Linked DNA regions of Mus musculus: all the other regions are reported to be linked to region 2. Evidence: microRNA targets listed by miRTarBase, many of them from high-throughput screens and not tested one by one. Region 2 holds a microRNA gene; each other region holds the end of a gene's coding sequence.
What was found. The annotated mature microRNA mmu-miR-339-5p reads UCCCUGUCCUCCAGGAGCUCACG and lies in region 2 at 1,793-1,815, shown strand. An mRNA with a match to its seed (bases 2 to 7 or 8) in the 3' UTR can be bound and repressed. Matches are read on the target gene's strand: a 7mer-m8 pairs with bases 2 to 8, a 7mer-A1 pairs with bases 2 to 7 and ends in A, and an 8mer does both.

Region 1: miRTarBase lists Spib as a target of mmu-miR-339-5p. Seed matches in the 3' UTR shown: 7mer-m8 at 1,188-1,194 and 7mer-m8 at 1,795-1,801.
Region 3: the mRNA of Smad9 is a reported target of mmu-miR-339-5p. Seed matches in the 3' UTR shown: 7mer-A1 at 2,903-2,909 and 7mer-m8 at 632-638.
Region 4: miRTarBase lists Pgpep1 as a target of mmu-miR-339-5p. Seed matches in the 3' UTR shown: 7mer-m8 at 3,001-3,007 and 7mer-A1 at 2,750-2,756.

Annotation. Positions count from the first base shown.
Region 1 is chr7:44,524,576-44,528,678 of GRCm38, reverse strand. It overlaps Spib (Spi-B transcription factor (Spi-1/PU.1 related)), which reads left to right. Exons shown (of 6, transcript NM_019866.1): 6 at 422-2,684. The coding sequence ends at 720. It overlaps Mybpc2 (myosin binding protein C, fast-type), which reads left to right and starts at 4,010. Exons shown (of 28, transcript NM_146189.3): 1 at 4,010-4,103. The coding sequence starts at 4,090.
Region 2 is chr5:139,367,314-139,371,522 of GRCm38, reverse strand. Mir339 (microRNA 339) reads left to right here and starts at 1,778; the gene lies at 1,778-1,873. All of the region lies in intron 2 of 3110082I17Rik (RIKEN cDNA 3110082I17 gene), which reads left to right.
Region 3 is chr3:54,797,040-54,801,142 of GRCm38, reverse strand. It overlaps Smad9 (SMAD family member 9), which reads right to left. Exons shown (of 6, transcript NM_019483.5): 6 at 1-3,785. The coding sequence ends at 3,642. Among named protein-coding and RNA genes, the nearest start is that of Rfxap, 8.7 kb to the left of the region's middle.
Region 4 is chr8:70,646,835-70,650,937 of GRCm38, forward strand. It overlaps Pgpep1 (pyroglutamyl-peptidase I), which reads right to left. Exons shown (of 5, transcript NM_023217.4): 5 at 1-3,951. The coding sequence ends at 3,759. Among named protein-coding and RNA genes, the nearest start is that of Pgpep1, 11 kb to the right of the region's middle.

The DNA.
Region 1 (4,103 bases), not on the chromosome of region 2:
CCTGGGTTTCCGTTGTGCACAAAGACACAGTAACAGCCAAAGGAAACCCAATATATACCTACAATCCTCCTCCCCTTAGGCCTCTGTGTCTGACAACCTTTCAAACCAATTATTCTCTGTTGGACCTCAATTTTCCGTATGTCAAACCAGTCATCTTATTTATACTCCCGCGCTCACTGGAGGGATTCTAGGCACGGGGCTCTATCACTGAGCCAAGCCTCACCCTCTTACTTTTAAAAGACAGTCTCCCTAAGTTACCTAGGCTGATCTTGAACTTGGTGATCTTTCCTCAGCCTCTGGAGTAGTTGCAGCCAACCAGGCCCAACTCCATTGTGAAAACTAAGGGTGGCGAGGGGCCGTAGCTCTGGGGGTTCCTTTAACGGACTTCCCCCTCTTAACGCTGGTATCCAACACCCTGCAGGTGCACGCAAGAAGCTGCGCCTGTACCAGTTCTTGCTGGGGTTGCTCCTACGCGGGGACATGCGCGAGTGCGTGTGGTGGGTGGAGCCAGGTGCCGGCGTCTTCCAGTTCTCCTCCAAGCACAAGGAGTTGTTGGCTCGCCGCTGGGGCCAGCAGAAGGGCAACCGCAAGCGCATGACGTATCAGAAGCTGGCCCGAGCGCTGCGCAACTATGCCAAGACAGGCGAAATCCGCAAGGTCAAACGCAAACTCACCTACCAGTTTGACAGCGCGCTGCTGCCAGCCTCCCGGCATGTCTGAGCACTCCGCTAAGGACCCCTTTCTGGCCCCTAAGTCCCATGGAGCCCCATATGAGGGCAGTCAGGGTTCTCAGCTCTCCCTAGAGCCTCCCCAGAGTTTCCTGTGCCGTGTATAGGATTCCAATCTAGGATGGTCGTGTTTGAGGGAGCACTGGCCATTCTACACGGTTTCAGAATGGCAGGTTTCTCGGGGGGGGGGGGGATGGGGGAGCCCTGATGTCGTCTACGGTTCCAGAAACCGCAGTTCTTGCGAGTCCTGTGAGCTCACATGACATCTCACCAGCAGGTGGCGCTGTCTACAGCCCCCCCCAAACCCTTGTTTTGTTGGCCAGATAGGTCGGTCCCTCTGTACTCCCCCTGAAGCCCTTGTTAGATCTGAGGTCTAGTTATGTTTGGAGCTCTCTGAGAACCCTGTGCCACCTGTGTGTGACTTTTCTCTGCGTCCGTTTATGACTTTTGTTTGTTTGAGACAGGGTCTCATTATGTAGCTCAGGCTGGCCCCCCAACTTTTAACAATCGTCCTGCCTCGGCCTCCTGAGTGCTGGGATGACAAGGGTGCACCATCACACCAGGTTTTTTCCTTTTTTGAGAGATTTTACTATGTAACCCGGGCTGGGCTATTCTCAAGCTAGTGGCAGTCCTCTTGCCTCAGGCTCCTCTTGCCTCAGGCACCCCTTGGGACCCTCTGGGACCTATGTCCGAGATGAATGGCTGGGTAAGGTAGGGTGGGAGGTTCAGTGAACCTTATAGGTTGGGCCCTTCCTTCTGGGATCCCTTGATCATATGGGAAGTTCTCTAGGCTCTCAGCAGCCCTGCATTCACACACTGACTGAGGCGCGACCTGTATGTTGTGTTTGAGGGGGATGTGTGGCAGAGGTATGGCTGTGGCAAGGCCGGTGCCTTTTATTCTTGAGATTGAGTCTTATGTAGCTCAGGCTGGTCTTGAACTCACTCTCACTGTGTAGCTAGGGAAGACCTTGAGCCCTTGCCTCAGCCAGAATGCTCAGATGTCAGGCAGCGCACCACGTGACTGTTTCTTTCCATTGTCTTGTCTTTTTGTTGTTGTTGTTTTCGAGACAGGGTTTCTCTGTGTAGCCCTGGCCGTTCTGGAACTCACTCTGTAGACCAGGCTGGCCTTAAACTCAGAAATCCACCTGCCTCTGCCTCTCAAATGCTGGGATTAAAGGCGTGCACCACCACGCCCTTTTTCCTTTTTCTTAAGTCAAGGTCTATTTGTGTAGCCCAGGCTGGCTTCAAGCTCATGACACTCTTCCTGCCTCTGCGTCTGGAACTATGAACATACCTTACTACTCTGTGCTTACCCACGCCATGGGTAGACAGACTTCTAGACTTGGTCAACCCCCACCCACAAGGCAGGCAAATTAAGTCCCTGCAGGTGCTTTCTTTGGAGGAAAGCCCGCTTTCATAGTGATCTGTCAAGCTAGAAAGCACTCCCGCCACCCAGATATCTAAGTGTGAATCTTTGGACAACTGGTGACTTCTGGCCAGCTTTTCTGGGGCCGGCCTCTGTCCAGGTGTCTGCCCAGGACCCTGCTCAGTGCCTGTCTGTCTCACACCAGTGACTTCCTCACACCCGCCTGTTCAGGCCCAGTCTTTTCCGTTCAAGTGCTACAGGCCAAGTAGGCTCAAACTGTGGGTTTGTCTTGGGCATCCACAGCAGAATCAGAACCCAGAGCTTTGAAGCCTGAGTGAGGGGAGGGGGGCACTCAGGCTTCCGTCTCTCTGAGAAACAGACGATGAAGAGGCCCTTAAAACTCTTTGCAACCCCATGAGCCTCCCCAATGAGCCTGTGACACACCGGAACTCACCTCTGTGGGTGGCCGGGAGGGGGAACAGGGTCATGGAAGATCCAGATGTCCATGTGGTCAAGGCTAAACTGTACTAAATAAAATTATTTCTCATCACCACTATACATGCATAATAAATAAAGTGTACATCAAAATTAAGCCGTCTTGGGACCCTTTATTAGGAACTGTCCCCTGCACCTCCACATGAACTCTTCTGAGACTGTGGCAGTCATAGGGAGGGAGGGGGAGGGAGGGGGAGGGAGAAAGGAAGGTGGTGGGCCAGGCTAGGGCTTGAATGAGGAAACCATTGTTTCCCACCTTGCTTTTCTGCTCACCCCTCCATTCCAGACATCTGACTGTTCGGTTTTTGTTTTTTTGTCTTGAAGATAGGCTCTTCCTTACGTTGTAGTTCAGGCTGGTCTTGAAGTCACTCCAATGGCCCTGTCTCAGCTCAGTCTCTGGAATTCCGGGTTACAGGGGTGTGTTACTACAATGGGTTGCTGTGCAACTTGCCTGCTCCCTAGGGAGCGAGGTGGAAGTTTTTGCACTGCAACCAATGGTGTGACAGGACTTTGTGCCCCCAGAAGCCAGGAAGCTTCCGGCTGTTAGGGGATCTTTTTTTTGAAAGTAGAAAGGAGGGAGGGACACAAAGAGTAAAAGGGGGGGGGGAGGACAGCTTGTCTTCGATACCCTGGTTCCTTCCTCTGACACCCTTCTGGGCCAGCCACACCTGTGGTTCCCCAAGTGTCCCTCTCCTCCTCCTTACCCGCTCCTCCCCTCTGGTGCTGGGAAGGAGCCGGGCCTGGGCAGCTCTCCAGGGCCTTCCCGGCCTCTCTGCACTTGGCCGGTGACGGGCAGCCGGCCAGGCCGCTCCCATTGGGACCCGGATCAGAATAGGGCGGGAGGGACACCGAGAACTCTTCCCTGAGGCCGGCACCCGTCCTGCCTACGCGGGGGAAATCGGACTATCCTTCCCGTCTCTGGTTTCTAGAAAACTCCTGACTGGGGCTAAGAAAGGCTTCCAGAACCCGCCCCGCTTGCCCCGTGCACCTGAGACTCCCAGCCCCCCACGCCCGTTCCCAAGACCCAGGATTTCCCTCCCTTTTTTCCTTTTCTCTTTTCCTCCTCGTTCTTTGCCCCCACACAAGTGCCCTCTCTGCTTCCCCCCTCTCCCCATCTTGTGCTCTGGCCACTTCTCGTTCCTCCTTCTCCCCCCCACTTCATCCAGGACCTAAGAATCTGGACCCCTGTGCCCCCAGACTCTGGGGTTCCAGTTCCCCTCTTTCTGCGGTCACGCAGTCTTCACCTTTGCACCTCCACAGACTCAGGTGTCTAAGCACCACATCCCATCCCCACTAGGGCCTTGGCATCCCTCCACTCCTGCCTGCTCGCTATTTCTCGCCCTTTAGAGCATGCAAGAGGAATGCGGGGCGGCCCTGCGCTGCCTCCTGGGAGTCTCGAGACTCCATAAAGGGCTCCTCCTGGAGACCCACCTGTCCCTGCTAGGGCCTGGTTAGAGCCACTGCGGTCCCAAGTCCTGGGAGCAGGAGAAGGTCGCCGACATGCCTGAGGCTAA
Region 2 (4,209 bases):
ATAATTGTTTGTTTGGTTTTTTTTTTTTCCCTGGGAGACCCCATTTTCTGCCCAGTTGTAGCTGCTTGCACCCGCACCTTGGATGACTCCCACACTTTGCTTAGTGGGCTTTTCAAGCTTTAGAAATCCGCTCTGCATTATAATAGCAAGATCAGCACAAAAAGTAGGAACTATAGAGGATCCTGCGAGTGTTGTTTGTGCCCCAGTGTTTGTTCTGGTCATCTCTGCCCTCGTTGGCTCAGAGCTGTCTTCACATTTCTGCTGTTTTAAAAAAAGGGGGGTGGGGAGTTTTGGATTGCTAGGGAGTCACTTACCCAGGTGAGCAGAGACATCTGACCTTGCTTGCAGGGTGGTTGCTGGGCCCGTTGTAGCAGGAGAAATGGCCTTTCCTTGGCCACAGCAAGAAAGCTTCCATGACCTTAATGTCACTTGGGGGTCCACTAGGCAGTTTGGGATGTGTGAACACAGCTGCTCTACCAGAGGAAGCCAAAATCAAAAGCATTTTGATTACCGGCACACTCAAATAGAATTGGGAGTGGGGCACGTGGAAACCAGGCTAGAACAAGCATCCCTGGGTGGTGGGCATGCCGGGAAGCTCTAGAGAAGGGGATGTGGGTACCTGGCCCTGGCTAGAAAGAAGGCCTCCAGCTAGGGCGAAGGAGGCAGACTGCAGCTGAAATGAGACTGAGTCTCGCTCGGCTCAGGGACGCAGCGCAGGCTCTGCACAGTACACAGGTTCTTGTGTCAGCAGGCTTTTCCTGGCCTGGGAATGCTCAGTTATAGATGCAAGCCCCTCCCTCTCCTTCACTTCAGGGTCTCCTACTGCAGGGGTCTGATTAGAGACCTCCCCATCTCCCCCGCTGCAGGGCCCTCTTCCCTGCCTGTTGGCTGCTTTCTGCCATTTCTGAGTAGACCTAGGTGGGAGCTTGTTGTGTGTGTCGCCCTCACGCCCGTGATTCAGGTGGCAGGGGCTGACTCTGTCCTTGCTCTTGGACCAGGAGCTTCACTGATGGCCGAGTTGGGCTTCCCACTTAAACTTGTGCCAGAGCTGCTGGGACCAGTTCCTGTGATCTGCAGGCAAAGGGACGGAAGTTTTATCTTCTGGAGCCAGCCCCTCAGCCTAGTCAAGGAAATCTGCACCCTGTTCAAGCTCCTGGGGTCTGTCTGCTCCTGTGTTGGAACTGGGGACATGTGAGATAGCAGTGGGAGAGGTTAGACCTAGAAAACCCATGGGACCTTCATAACCTTGTTGGTGGGGCCAGTCAGCCTGAGTCAGGTGAGCTGAGGCCAGAGAGCCAAGAAAACCGATGTATAGTCGGGGACTCACAGCCTAGAGGCCTTGTGGTCTGTGCTGGAGTCTGTGAGAAAGTTAATTCTCTGGGCAGCCTGAGGTCAAGACTTAGGCTTTAGCCTGTGTTTAACCCCCAAGTAAGTGACACAGGGTGTTTCTGCCGTGACTGCAGAAGGACCTGTGGCCTGGACAGAGCCTGGGCTTGGTGGCGGTGACAACATCACCTCTGGGGATTCGTGTGTCCTGTGGCAGCTGGTGATGGCCCAGTCTCCTGTTTCTCAGGGATACATCAGATCTGCTGCTCACTTCCGCCATTCAGGTCACTGAGGAGGCAGGGTGCCGCATCTGTCATCTTTGTCTTTTTCAAGCATGGGGCTTAAGTGACATTTTGTGCATTTGAAAAGTCATATCTAGAAGGGGATCCCTAGGTGGGTGTGACCCTTGCCTTGGCACCAAGGTGGTGAGAGCACAGCTGTGCAGAGCTGGACGGGGTGGCCACTATCCCTGTCCTCCAGGAGCTCACGTATGCCTGCCTGTGAGCGCCTCGGCGACAGAGCCGGTGTCCACCCCTGCACTGTCCACAGACCCTTGCCTGCAGACCAGGGTGCTCAGTCGCTGGCTGTTCATGCTGTACCTTCTTGAACTCGATTGTGCAGATCTGCAGGTTGTTCCGTGGATGGAGGGGACTCTGGTTTCTCTGTGCGGTGACGCAAGGCACTGACCCCTCTGGGGTCCTAATCATCTTAACCTACGCAGACACTGAGGGGGAGGGGAGAGGAGCCAGGAGGGAGCCTTCCAGGTCTCTCCCTCTGTGTGTGTCCTCTGTAGCACCAGTTGATTCTACTGCGTGTGACCTATGTCCTGGCAGTTGGTGTCCCTGGGTCACTTCTACATCCACTGTGTTTCAGTAATTACCTCCAAATAAAAAGCTTCCTTTAAAACAAACTCTCTCCCCTCTCTTCATTATGTTGTTGTGCTTTTGCTTTGTCTTCTGGAAATCTTGCTACCGAGTGAGTGCATAGCCGGGCAGCAGTCTGCTGAGGTCTGTGAACCGGAATGGGCTCTCAAGGTCGAACACCTCTGTGGGACCCTGGACTCGGGCTGGCTCCAACTGAATGGAGGAGGGCTGATTCTGGGCTGGGGAATGAGAACAGAGTCCACTGGCCTTGGCACCCAGCTCGTCAGCCTCAGCAGGCTTCGTGGTCTCCCCCCACAAACATCGCTGTCACTTGTAGGCCATTCCCAATGTCTGGGGAACAGGTATAGGGGTGGTAGGGACCAGAGACCATGCCCCAGCCTTGGAGGCACCACCTGGGTATGTGATAGACAGGCCAGGTGCTGGGCTCCATCGACCATCTGCTGTGCCCTTGGGACTCTGTCCTGTGTGAAGCGGGTCAAATGACTGGATTCCCTGCCACTCAGCTGCGCCCCCAGTACAGCTGCTCTGGTCACATGATGGGGTGGGGACAACAGAGGGTCCTTCTACCCTCACCTGTGTTCATCCTTACACCTGACTCAGTCATTCCAAGAAAGAAGGTCCTACAGAGCTGTGTGTCTGGCACTGGCTACCAGGGCCTCTACTGCCAAGGTCTACAACTAACCTTTGAGGGGTTTTTGTTTATGTTTGAGACAGACTTGCTAAGCTCAAGCTAGCCTTGGACTTTCAATCCTCAGGACATATTCACCAACCTCCTCCACAATTCCAAGAACGTTTGAACAAGATGTTTTTGAGCCCAGTGGATGCTCAAAAACGCTGGGCATTGACTGCCTCCCCAGGACAGCACAAATCCCTATTAAGAGAATATCCCCAGTCATACTGCCCCAGCACAGGTGATGCCCTGGCCAGGGCCAGCAGCTCCTTCTAGCTGTGTGGAGAAGGAGAACATCTCTCTGCCCTGTGAACTTCATTGGGGAAGGACAGTGGGCCCTTGCCCTTCCTCCTACACAGAAGGCCTCTTTTACCCCCATGGGACCCAAGGGAGGGGCAGTGGTGGGGTGCTTGAAGCTGCGGTTTGCTGCAGCACCCACCTTTGTGTGCCTCCTCAGCGCCTGAGGCTTCAAAAACAGTAAGGTTCAACCAGGGCTTCCTGATTAAACCTGGGGAACAAACAAGAGAAGCAGGCCCACGCAGTTGCCCTGGTTCAAGGTTGGTCCTGGGTTTACACACAGCCTGGTGAGGGCAAGGGAGAAAGTGCCGCCTGGAGTCTTTGAGCTGGCAGAAAACACCCACTCACCAGGATGCCCCTGCTTACAGATGGTAGAGTTAAGCCTCCTCACCAGCAACAGGCACAAGCAGGCCAGACTCCCCTTACCAGTGTGGCTCAGAATGCCTGGCCAGGACTCTTCTCAACATCCAGAACTCAGGGAGCCTGAGGCAAGATTGCCCCTAAGGGGACGCTAGCTAGCCTGGGCTTTATAATTCCAGGTCAGCTTACCAGCTAACCTACACACACACACACACACACAGGCTGTGCCCTGTCATGGACACCAGGCAGTCTTGAATTTAGCTACCAAGGCTGTTGGGAGATGGTCCAGTTTTCTTCTCAATCTCCAGAGTCACCCAGCAAGCCTTGCCTGTTAGCATGGGACAGAGGCTGCCTGCTCCGCCAGCCCTGGATCAGTGCAAACCATGAGTGGTGATGGAGATGTGGGTGGAGGAACCCTCAGGGTGTGCCATTTGGGAGACTGCTGATGCTGCACTGGCCCCAAAGTGTCAGCCTTCCTTGGCTTTGGTAGGGACAGCAAAGAGCTGAGCCCACCATCCATACAAGGACCCTCCGTGGGTGCAGCATTCGCTCAGGCCAGTGTGCATGTTTTATATGCATGCCTGAATGAGCATTACATATGTACCCAGAGTTCAGAAGAGGACTTTGGGCCCTCTGGAGCTACAATTACAAATGATTGAGAGCTACCATGTG
Region 3 (4,103 bases), not on the chromosome of region 2:
TTCCTATAGACATGTTCCTTGATGGACGTGGCTGTTGAGTTGCTAAGGTAGGATGCTCAAACGACAGTGTGTATTAAATTCACTTTTTAATAACAACAGCTTTACCATACAAAGGGTTTGAGTTGTGTGTCCTGGTGCTAAGCTGGGGAGCAGTAGTTAAACACCTCTAAAAATTCTGCAAAGTATCATTAAAATTACACATTAATGCCAAATATTCGAAGATGTCTTTTTTGTTATAGTGCCACCAAAGTTTTTACAGCATGAAGACTTCTTAAAAAGCTCATTTTCTAAGTAGAACAGTTTATGATTAAGCATCTTAAGGAGCCATAGATCATATACATAGAAGTATTTCCTAGAGTTTGAAAGAAAAATAAGCCAAAAGGTGTATCATTGTCTAGCACAGACTACCAAAGTGTGGTGTGTGGCATTTCAGGAAGGCAAGGCTTCTGGGAATCAAAGAGTAATCTTGGCTGTCTGTTTTATATACATTCGAATTTATCATGAGAGCCGGACGTGGTGGTGCACGCCTTTAATCCCAGCACTCGGGAGGCAGAGGCAAGCAGATTTCTGAGTTTGAGGCCAGCCTGTTCTACAAAGCGAGTTCCAGGACAGCCAGGGCTATACAGAGAAACCCTGTCTTGAACCTCCCTCTCCCCCCAAAAAAAGAACTTATTATGAACATATGTGAGGGTTACCTACCCTTGCAAAGTTCGGCTCTTGACTCTAGCAGGTAAGACGATGTGGAATGCATGGTATATTTTACTTTATTAAATACATACATGAAATATCTGGAACATACTCAGCATTAAGCAGGAGCTTAAAGTCCAGCAAGCGATTTTTATAAAATGATTTTGCTACTCTTCTTTCTGTTGTCGTTATGAGGATAACTCCACCCTTAGAACACAATGAAAAGAATATTCTAAATGCTAGAGAGTTTTGCTGACTCTACAACACAACACCGAAGTGTGTATGTTAACAAGGTGGTGTCTTCTTAGTTCTGAAACAGTTGTAATCACTTAGCTGAAACAAACTGATCATGTCTTATTTTTGCTAAGACTCACACATACTGACTTGTACACAGTGATAAACATTCTGGGTCTTGTGGGCAAGCCAAACCGATACAGATCTCCATTGCCTGACCCTGCCTGAGGCAACTTGCAGTGTGCAAAGGCCTGGCTGCCCACTTTCCCCTTCACCCTGTAAAACAACCTACGCAGCATAAGTTTGCTTGTCAGCTTCATGGAATGATCGCCACATGGTCACTCAGAGGAGTTGAAGTCAAGGATTACGTTATGATACGTTTAGATCTCTTAACAGCCAAAGGGGGAAAATTCATTAAAATGTGACTCTGCTATACAAGCATAGGACTTATATCTCTTCAAAGCTAAATTCTCTGATAATATACATATGAACCTAGGTCATGATTCCTTTCTCAAAGAAATCAGACACGCTTCAATATTTTGATTTCTTAACACTGCAAGGAAGTCCAAGTAGTTTACTTGTTTGTTTGGTTTTTAGTTTTGTTTTTAAGCTTCTACTTTTGTTTTGAGACAGGGTTTCAGTGTATAGCCCTGGCTGTCCTGTAACTCCTTATATAGACCAGGTCAGGCCTGAATTCACAGGGATCCACCTGCCTCTGTCTCCCTGCTGCTGAGATCAAAGGCAGGTACCACGGTACCACTACACCCTGAAGCTCCTACTCCTGAATAGTTTCTTACAACTACAGATTGCCAGGGATATTTGGCCACTTGTGAGGAGATCAAAGGGGCGGTGGGAAATCTGGGACAATGCTTTGTGTCCTTAGATGGGTACACATGGCTTTTCCAAGGAAGAAACCAGGAGAAATATCAGAAAAAAATAGGGATTCCAGGAGGTGGGGTGGCTAGGAATGGAAGTAGTTATGAAAAGATAAATTACTCAAGTGTTCTGAGGAGACATAAAATCCCAATATAGTTATTACAATAGAGTTCTTAACTATTGTTCAGAACTCGATTATGTTATTTTTCGAGCCCAAGAAGATTCACATGTGTGGGGTTTTTAAAGTTCTGAGACCTGATGTCTGTGCAAATGGTTTACCGTTAGATGTCTGGCGTTATGGAGGTGGGGACTGCCTCTAATGTGCGTTTGATTCCCTGGTACCTGACACTGTACCCAGTACACACAAATGCACAAGACAGACTTAATGAATCGACATGCTTGGGTTTTTTTTCTTATACACTCTAAGTGGTAGTTTGAGACGAAATGAGTTTCCGATATAATATCTCTATCATATTATGGAAGCTCTATCCTTTAAACAATAAATGCCATCCTACATAATCCTTTTCAAAGGGCTTGAAGTAAACTTAGAAGCAATGGGGTGCCTAATGAGTGGCATGTACCTTGAAGTCTGGAGGATATTTCCCTTATCATCCAACAGAGGGAATGAGCTGATATATGCATGTCTATATACACATAAGGTGTTTTTTAAAGATGCTTTATTATTCACTACCACTGTTTCCTCATAAAAATAAAAAAATGTAGGGCATATGAAACATTCCTACTTCACCTGGGAAGCTATATCCAGGTATTTAATAGCTTTAGAAGAGGCTGCACTGATGTAACCAGCTAATAACTTAACATAGGTGCCAGGCTGAGAGATGCATAAATAAGATCCAAAGATGCCTCGAGCTTTCCCAAGGCTTTGCTCTTGTTTGAATCATCTGTCACTAATTGCTATTTGTCACCAGGAGGAAAAATGAGGCAAGGGATGCCCTGCCTAGCCTGCACTTCCCTCCCAACCTTCCAGTCTACAGCTTCATCTCTGCACGGGGTTTGTAGTGTGCACAGGGCAGGCAGCCATCTGCAAGGTCAGACAGGAGGGACGGGAAGACGGGAAGATGGCTTCCAGAGTGGACGCAGGAGTTCCCTGTGCTTCCGGGCCTGAATTCTGGGCTAACCCTGGATCAAGCCTCCTCTCAGGCCGGTTTCCCTTAAGAGCCTTGGCTTTGCTTGCCTGCCTGCCCACCCGCCTGCCCGCCCGCCCGCCCGCCTGCCTGCCTGCCTGCTTGCTTGTTTTAGATTGAGGCCACTGACTCCAAGCTTCACAGTTTCTCCCTCTCCAATCACAGTTTAGATCTGGTTGAATGTACCTGCCGTCAGCACAGTACCTGGCTATGTGTATTTCAGCTTCGGAGATAAAGTTTCTGTGGCTTTATCTCACAGGTCCCTGGACAAGCTTGGTTTTCTTTCTTGACACTCACATTGCAAGTGAGGTCTTTTTAAAACCACTTGTGTGTGACTGATTTTGCTCTAGTGCTCCTATTCCTTCTGTGTAAGCAGCTTTGTGTTTTCCATGTGGGGCACAACCTCCTGTGGAGTGACGATGAGCTGACTCGGTGGCCTTGAGTCCTGCCGACGCCCTCACGTGCTGTTTCCCTCTCACAGAAGACTTGGCTCCCATCAGAGAGAAACCACGCTTCTTCGACCACACCGCACTGGCCCCAGGTTAAGTAGGTAGCACAAAACAAACGGTGATATAAACGTGACTCGGATGCGTTACACGTGTATTTACATCTGCATCCGGAACCCTGCATTAGCTGCGGTTGCCACGATGGAAGCCCCTGCCCGAGTCTGTTCTGTGGCAACGTGGCTGACGACGTGACTTAAGACACTGAAGAGATAGGGTTGTGTGGGGAGCCCATCTGAGTGAGCACCTTATCCAACCACTGCAGCGGTCCATGAAGATGGATCTCGATCCAGCAGGGGGTGCTCGTGACATCCTGGCGATGATACTCTGCTCCCCAGCCCTGCAGGGGAAGAACAGAGCCCAGACTGAAGTGCGGCTTTTTGCCAGGTGCCACCAGGCAGAGCACGGGAATGCAGGGTTCCAGGCTCCCTGTGAGAAGTCGGTGCCTCTAGGGAACAGATGCCTCCTCCTCTGAGTGGCCCAGGTCAGGCAGGGTGGGCTCTGTTAGCTCATTTACACCTGGACACCTATTTAGTGGTGCCTGGGGCTCTACAGACCACATGGAGAAGCTGGCAAGCCATCTCCGCATTACAGGGAAAGAGACTCAACCTCATGTCCTACTCTTCATGCGGAAGCCTGTGTCTGTCATTAAAGACCG
Region 4 (4,103 bases), not on the chromosome of region 2:
CTCCCCCCTGAGTCACCTTGCCCACCTCTCTCCCTCTCTTCCTGATAATTTGGTTTTTTGTCTCTCAAATCCCAGCCTGGCCTCTAACTTGGAGTGTAGGGGGAGGCTGGCCTTGAACTCTTGTTCTGCCTCCAGGACCATTGCCTGGATGATGCAATCCTTACAGCTTGTGACCAGTGTCCCTGACACCAGTGACAGGCCTTACTGACAGGCATGTTTAGTGGCTGTGGCAACTCAGGATATAGCTTTTCAAACCCAAACATTGACTTGGGTTCATTCCCCTACTGCTGCATATAAAGAAAAAAAAAAAAAAAAGAGCTATGTGCCCTGTTTTCTAGTCCAGACACTGTACTTTGGGGGGGGGGGGCGGGAGGCATTTCACCAGACACAGAACACCAAAGCCCCTCTATCTGTTTGCTCTCTCCAGCCTGTGGATGTAGAGAAATGGTGGGCTGGGGAGGGAGGCCACCTGCCTGGGTACACATTTGAGAAGCCATCGGCATGCATAGGGACCCCACAGGGACCCCCACAGCCCCAACTCTCAGAGTCCAGGCTCTGAGAGTAAGGCTTTGTCTCTATGTTCCCAGAGGGGACTCTGGGCTCAGACACTCCAAGGGGTAGAGAGGTCAAGGGTGAGCTGTCTAGACAGTGGGAGGGAGAAGGGCAGGCTGGAGGCGCTCTCCTAGCATACAGCAAGGTCACCTTGGGGGCGCAGGCACAAGCATCCTGTGCACACAGCAGCTGGTCTGACTTCCAGCCAAAGTCCTCACTCAAAAGCACCTAGAGTCTGCTTTTCCAACTTCCCCCAGCCTCGGGGTCCCCGCTTTCCTGAAGGTTTACACGCCAGCTTGAGAAGTACAGGAGAGAGTTCCCATTTTAGCTGAAGCCATCAATTTAACTTCAAAGATCTGCCCCCAAAGCAGGCTCAGGCGGAGGCTTAACCCTGCCATCCCTGGGACCTGGAGGCAAGGAATTCAAGGTCACCCTCAGCCACATAGTGTGAAGCCAGCCCAGGCTACACAAGATCCTGTACCACCCCCCACCATCTCCCAAAAAAATGAATTCAGAAGATTGGTGCCCACTATGGTGATCCTGCCTCCAATTCTTGCAGTTTGGCCCTCCACGTGGCCTCAGGAAACACTGGAGTGGCCCAGGGCACAGCATGCTGGTGTTGGTCTGAAAGCTACATCTCCACACCTAAGTTGATATCATAAATCAGACACTTTCTCAGACTGGCTGAGACCTCAGATTCTACCACTGCTGTCCCTGCACAAGTCCCTGGCTTCAGGTTTATGCCATGTTACTTCTCTTGCTCCGCTGGGCTAGCTTTCTACTTTGCCATTAATGGTAAGGGCCAGCCAGGCCCAGGTCAGGCTCTGCCCACACATCTGCCTACCTCTTGAAGCCCCACCCACACTCCCCAGGGTAAGCATGGGAAATGAAGGTCAGTGCTGGGGTGACCTGGACCTCAAGGGTCAATGTGACCAGTCTAGGTGACACCTGGCAACTACAGACCCTGAGCCCTACCTGCCAAAAAACGACAAAAAAAAAAAAAAAAAAAAAAAAACAAGTAGTTTTGGATCAGGGCAAGGGGTGTGTGTTTAAGAGATACCTAAATAAATAACTACCAGCCCCATGTCCTGGAATCCCCCTCAGCTCAACAGTGGGGACTAGAACATGACATGTGCACCCTCCTGGGGTCCCTGAGCATGGTGTTCCCATGCCAGGGACTTTGGGAAAATTGAGAGTGGAGCACAGCCCATGGTCTTCCTAAGGAAGACTTGCCAGGCACTGATACATCTGAAGCAGGACTGCCACACGTTGGAGGGCCAGCCTGAGCTACAGAGGTCAGGTAGAACTCTGCCTCAGAACACAAAAACAAAGACATACGGGAACCAAAGTCAGATCCACCTTGGTCATCTCAGGGGGAGGCTGAGGCCACAGGACCAGGAGTTCAAGGCCTGCCTTGTCTACATGATGTCTCAAAAGCCCAGAGCCCTGGGGAATCCCTTACTCCTGAGCCCCCATCTTCCTGCCCATGGCTATCTGGGAAACTGCAGGGCCTCTCTCTCTGGAGAAGGTGTTAGCACAGGACTGGGGGGAGGGTAAGAGGGGGAGCCCTCGTTATTCAAACTGCAGGCCCACACCCATAGATGCCTTTGTAGGGACAGCAAATCACCCTGGGGCACTCCAGGGTGCCCTCAACCCTGAGATTCAGAAAGAGAGCCAACCACTCAGATCTCCATGTGGCGACAAATAAGCTTCAGACCCAGGATCAACAAGATGATGACATGAAGAAACCACATCAGAACAAGGAACACTAGAGCTTAAAAGTAGCCAGGCCCAGCACACAGGCTTTCACAAGCCCTGCACTGAGTAGGCCGAGGTAGGAGGGTCAGGATTTAAGGTCAGCTTCAGCTACAGTGAATTGGAGGCTAGCCTGGGCTATAGGAGACCCAGTCTCACAAACAACAAGAAGATCCAGGGATGAGAAGTCACTTCAGAATTCAGATCCATCAATCCCGTGGGGACACCGAGGTCTCTATCCATCCACAAAAGAGAAGGTGGCATCCACAATGTACTTGGCTTCACTGGCAGGAACTGTACTTGGTCTTGGAAGGAGTCCAGGTCACATGCTACATCCCACCCTTCCTGAGAGCCCCTCCTCCTGGCTTGGCAGTTCAAAGTCAGCCAGAGACAAAGGCTGGCTGGAGTCCCTGGCACACTTCCAAATGCAGTTCAGCAGATATCCCTGTGGCTGATAGGACATGCAGGGACATGCCTGGGCACCGCAGCCTCTCACCCCAGGTCCCTCACAGGATATTAGAGGCTGGCTATCTCAAGATGGAGAAAATCCACAGCTCCAGGTGATGGTTCACACGGTAGGTTCTGGGTCCCAGGTGGGCCATGTGTGGTGGCAAACACCTGTCCCCTTAGTGCTTAGGAAACTGAGGCCAGAGGATCAGGAGTTCACACGAGGCCAGCCTAGGCTACCTGAGACCCTGTCTCCAAAGAAAAAACAAACAAACAACAAATACCCTCTAAAGTTTAGAGTATCTAAAATTTTAAGAGTCTTAAAATATCAAAAAGAGAACAAGAAAGATCATGGCAGGGTCGGCTCCCCACAGGCACCAGAGGCTACTGCGGCCAGGCCCTTGGTGGCCATAGCAGCCTGCTCTTCTGAGCAAAGGGAACCCACTATGGAGACCCAAAGTATGATGGCATTTTCAGGGCAGGAGGCAAAAGAGGCCGCCCTCCCCAGGAGAAAGGAAAGACACTTGTTGGTTAGGCCTGAAGTCTTAACAATGGGAACATAAGTTACGCTGTTCTGTTCTAGCACTGAAGGAAGGTGGGTACAACAAAGAAGGATGGGGACAGACAGAGGCAGAGAGAGACAGACACAGACAGAAACAGACAGAAGATAGAAAAGGCAACCAGGTCCCAAGTGGCTTTGGCGGGGACCATCTAGGGTTTAAGACATGGATTAGAGCTAATCTACTTTATGATACTTTGTGAGGCCCCAGCCACAGGGCAAGCTTCAACTCCTTGTCCATACACCTGAAAATGCAGACTGCGTCAGGGTCAAGGTGGCCCCATGGCATGTGTGCAGACCACTAGCCCTGGCCTCTGGGCGCAGAAGTGTCCCCAGATGATATTCAGATGGGAGCTCTCTCAATTGCCCCCTTGTGGTCCATTAGGAGGGGCAGATGAGTCAGGATGGCCCCTCTCTCGGCACCGCACCCAGGTGTACATGGCTGTCAGAGCTGGCGGCAACAGCTGATGTCTCCCTCGGCTTGCTCCAGGACACCCAGCATCTCCTCGATGATAGCTCGTAGCGCCCGGCCTAGCTGGTCGGCGTTGTAGGGCTTACCCAGTGGGGGCACGTGGACAAAAGCGGAGCGGCCGCGGCCCTGGTAGAGCGATGTATAATACGTGAAGTCACACAGATACCTGAGACAGATGGGAGGAAAAGTCACAGTCACTATGTCCCAGGCCAAAGCCACCAGGCTTCTGAAAAGTCCTTCAAAGCTCTGGGGCACAGCTCTGGGGCACAGCTGGGAGGTGGAGGAGAATCTAGGGGTCAGGAATTTGGGGGACCCTGG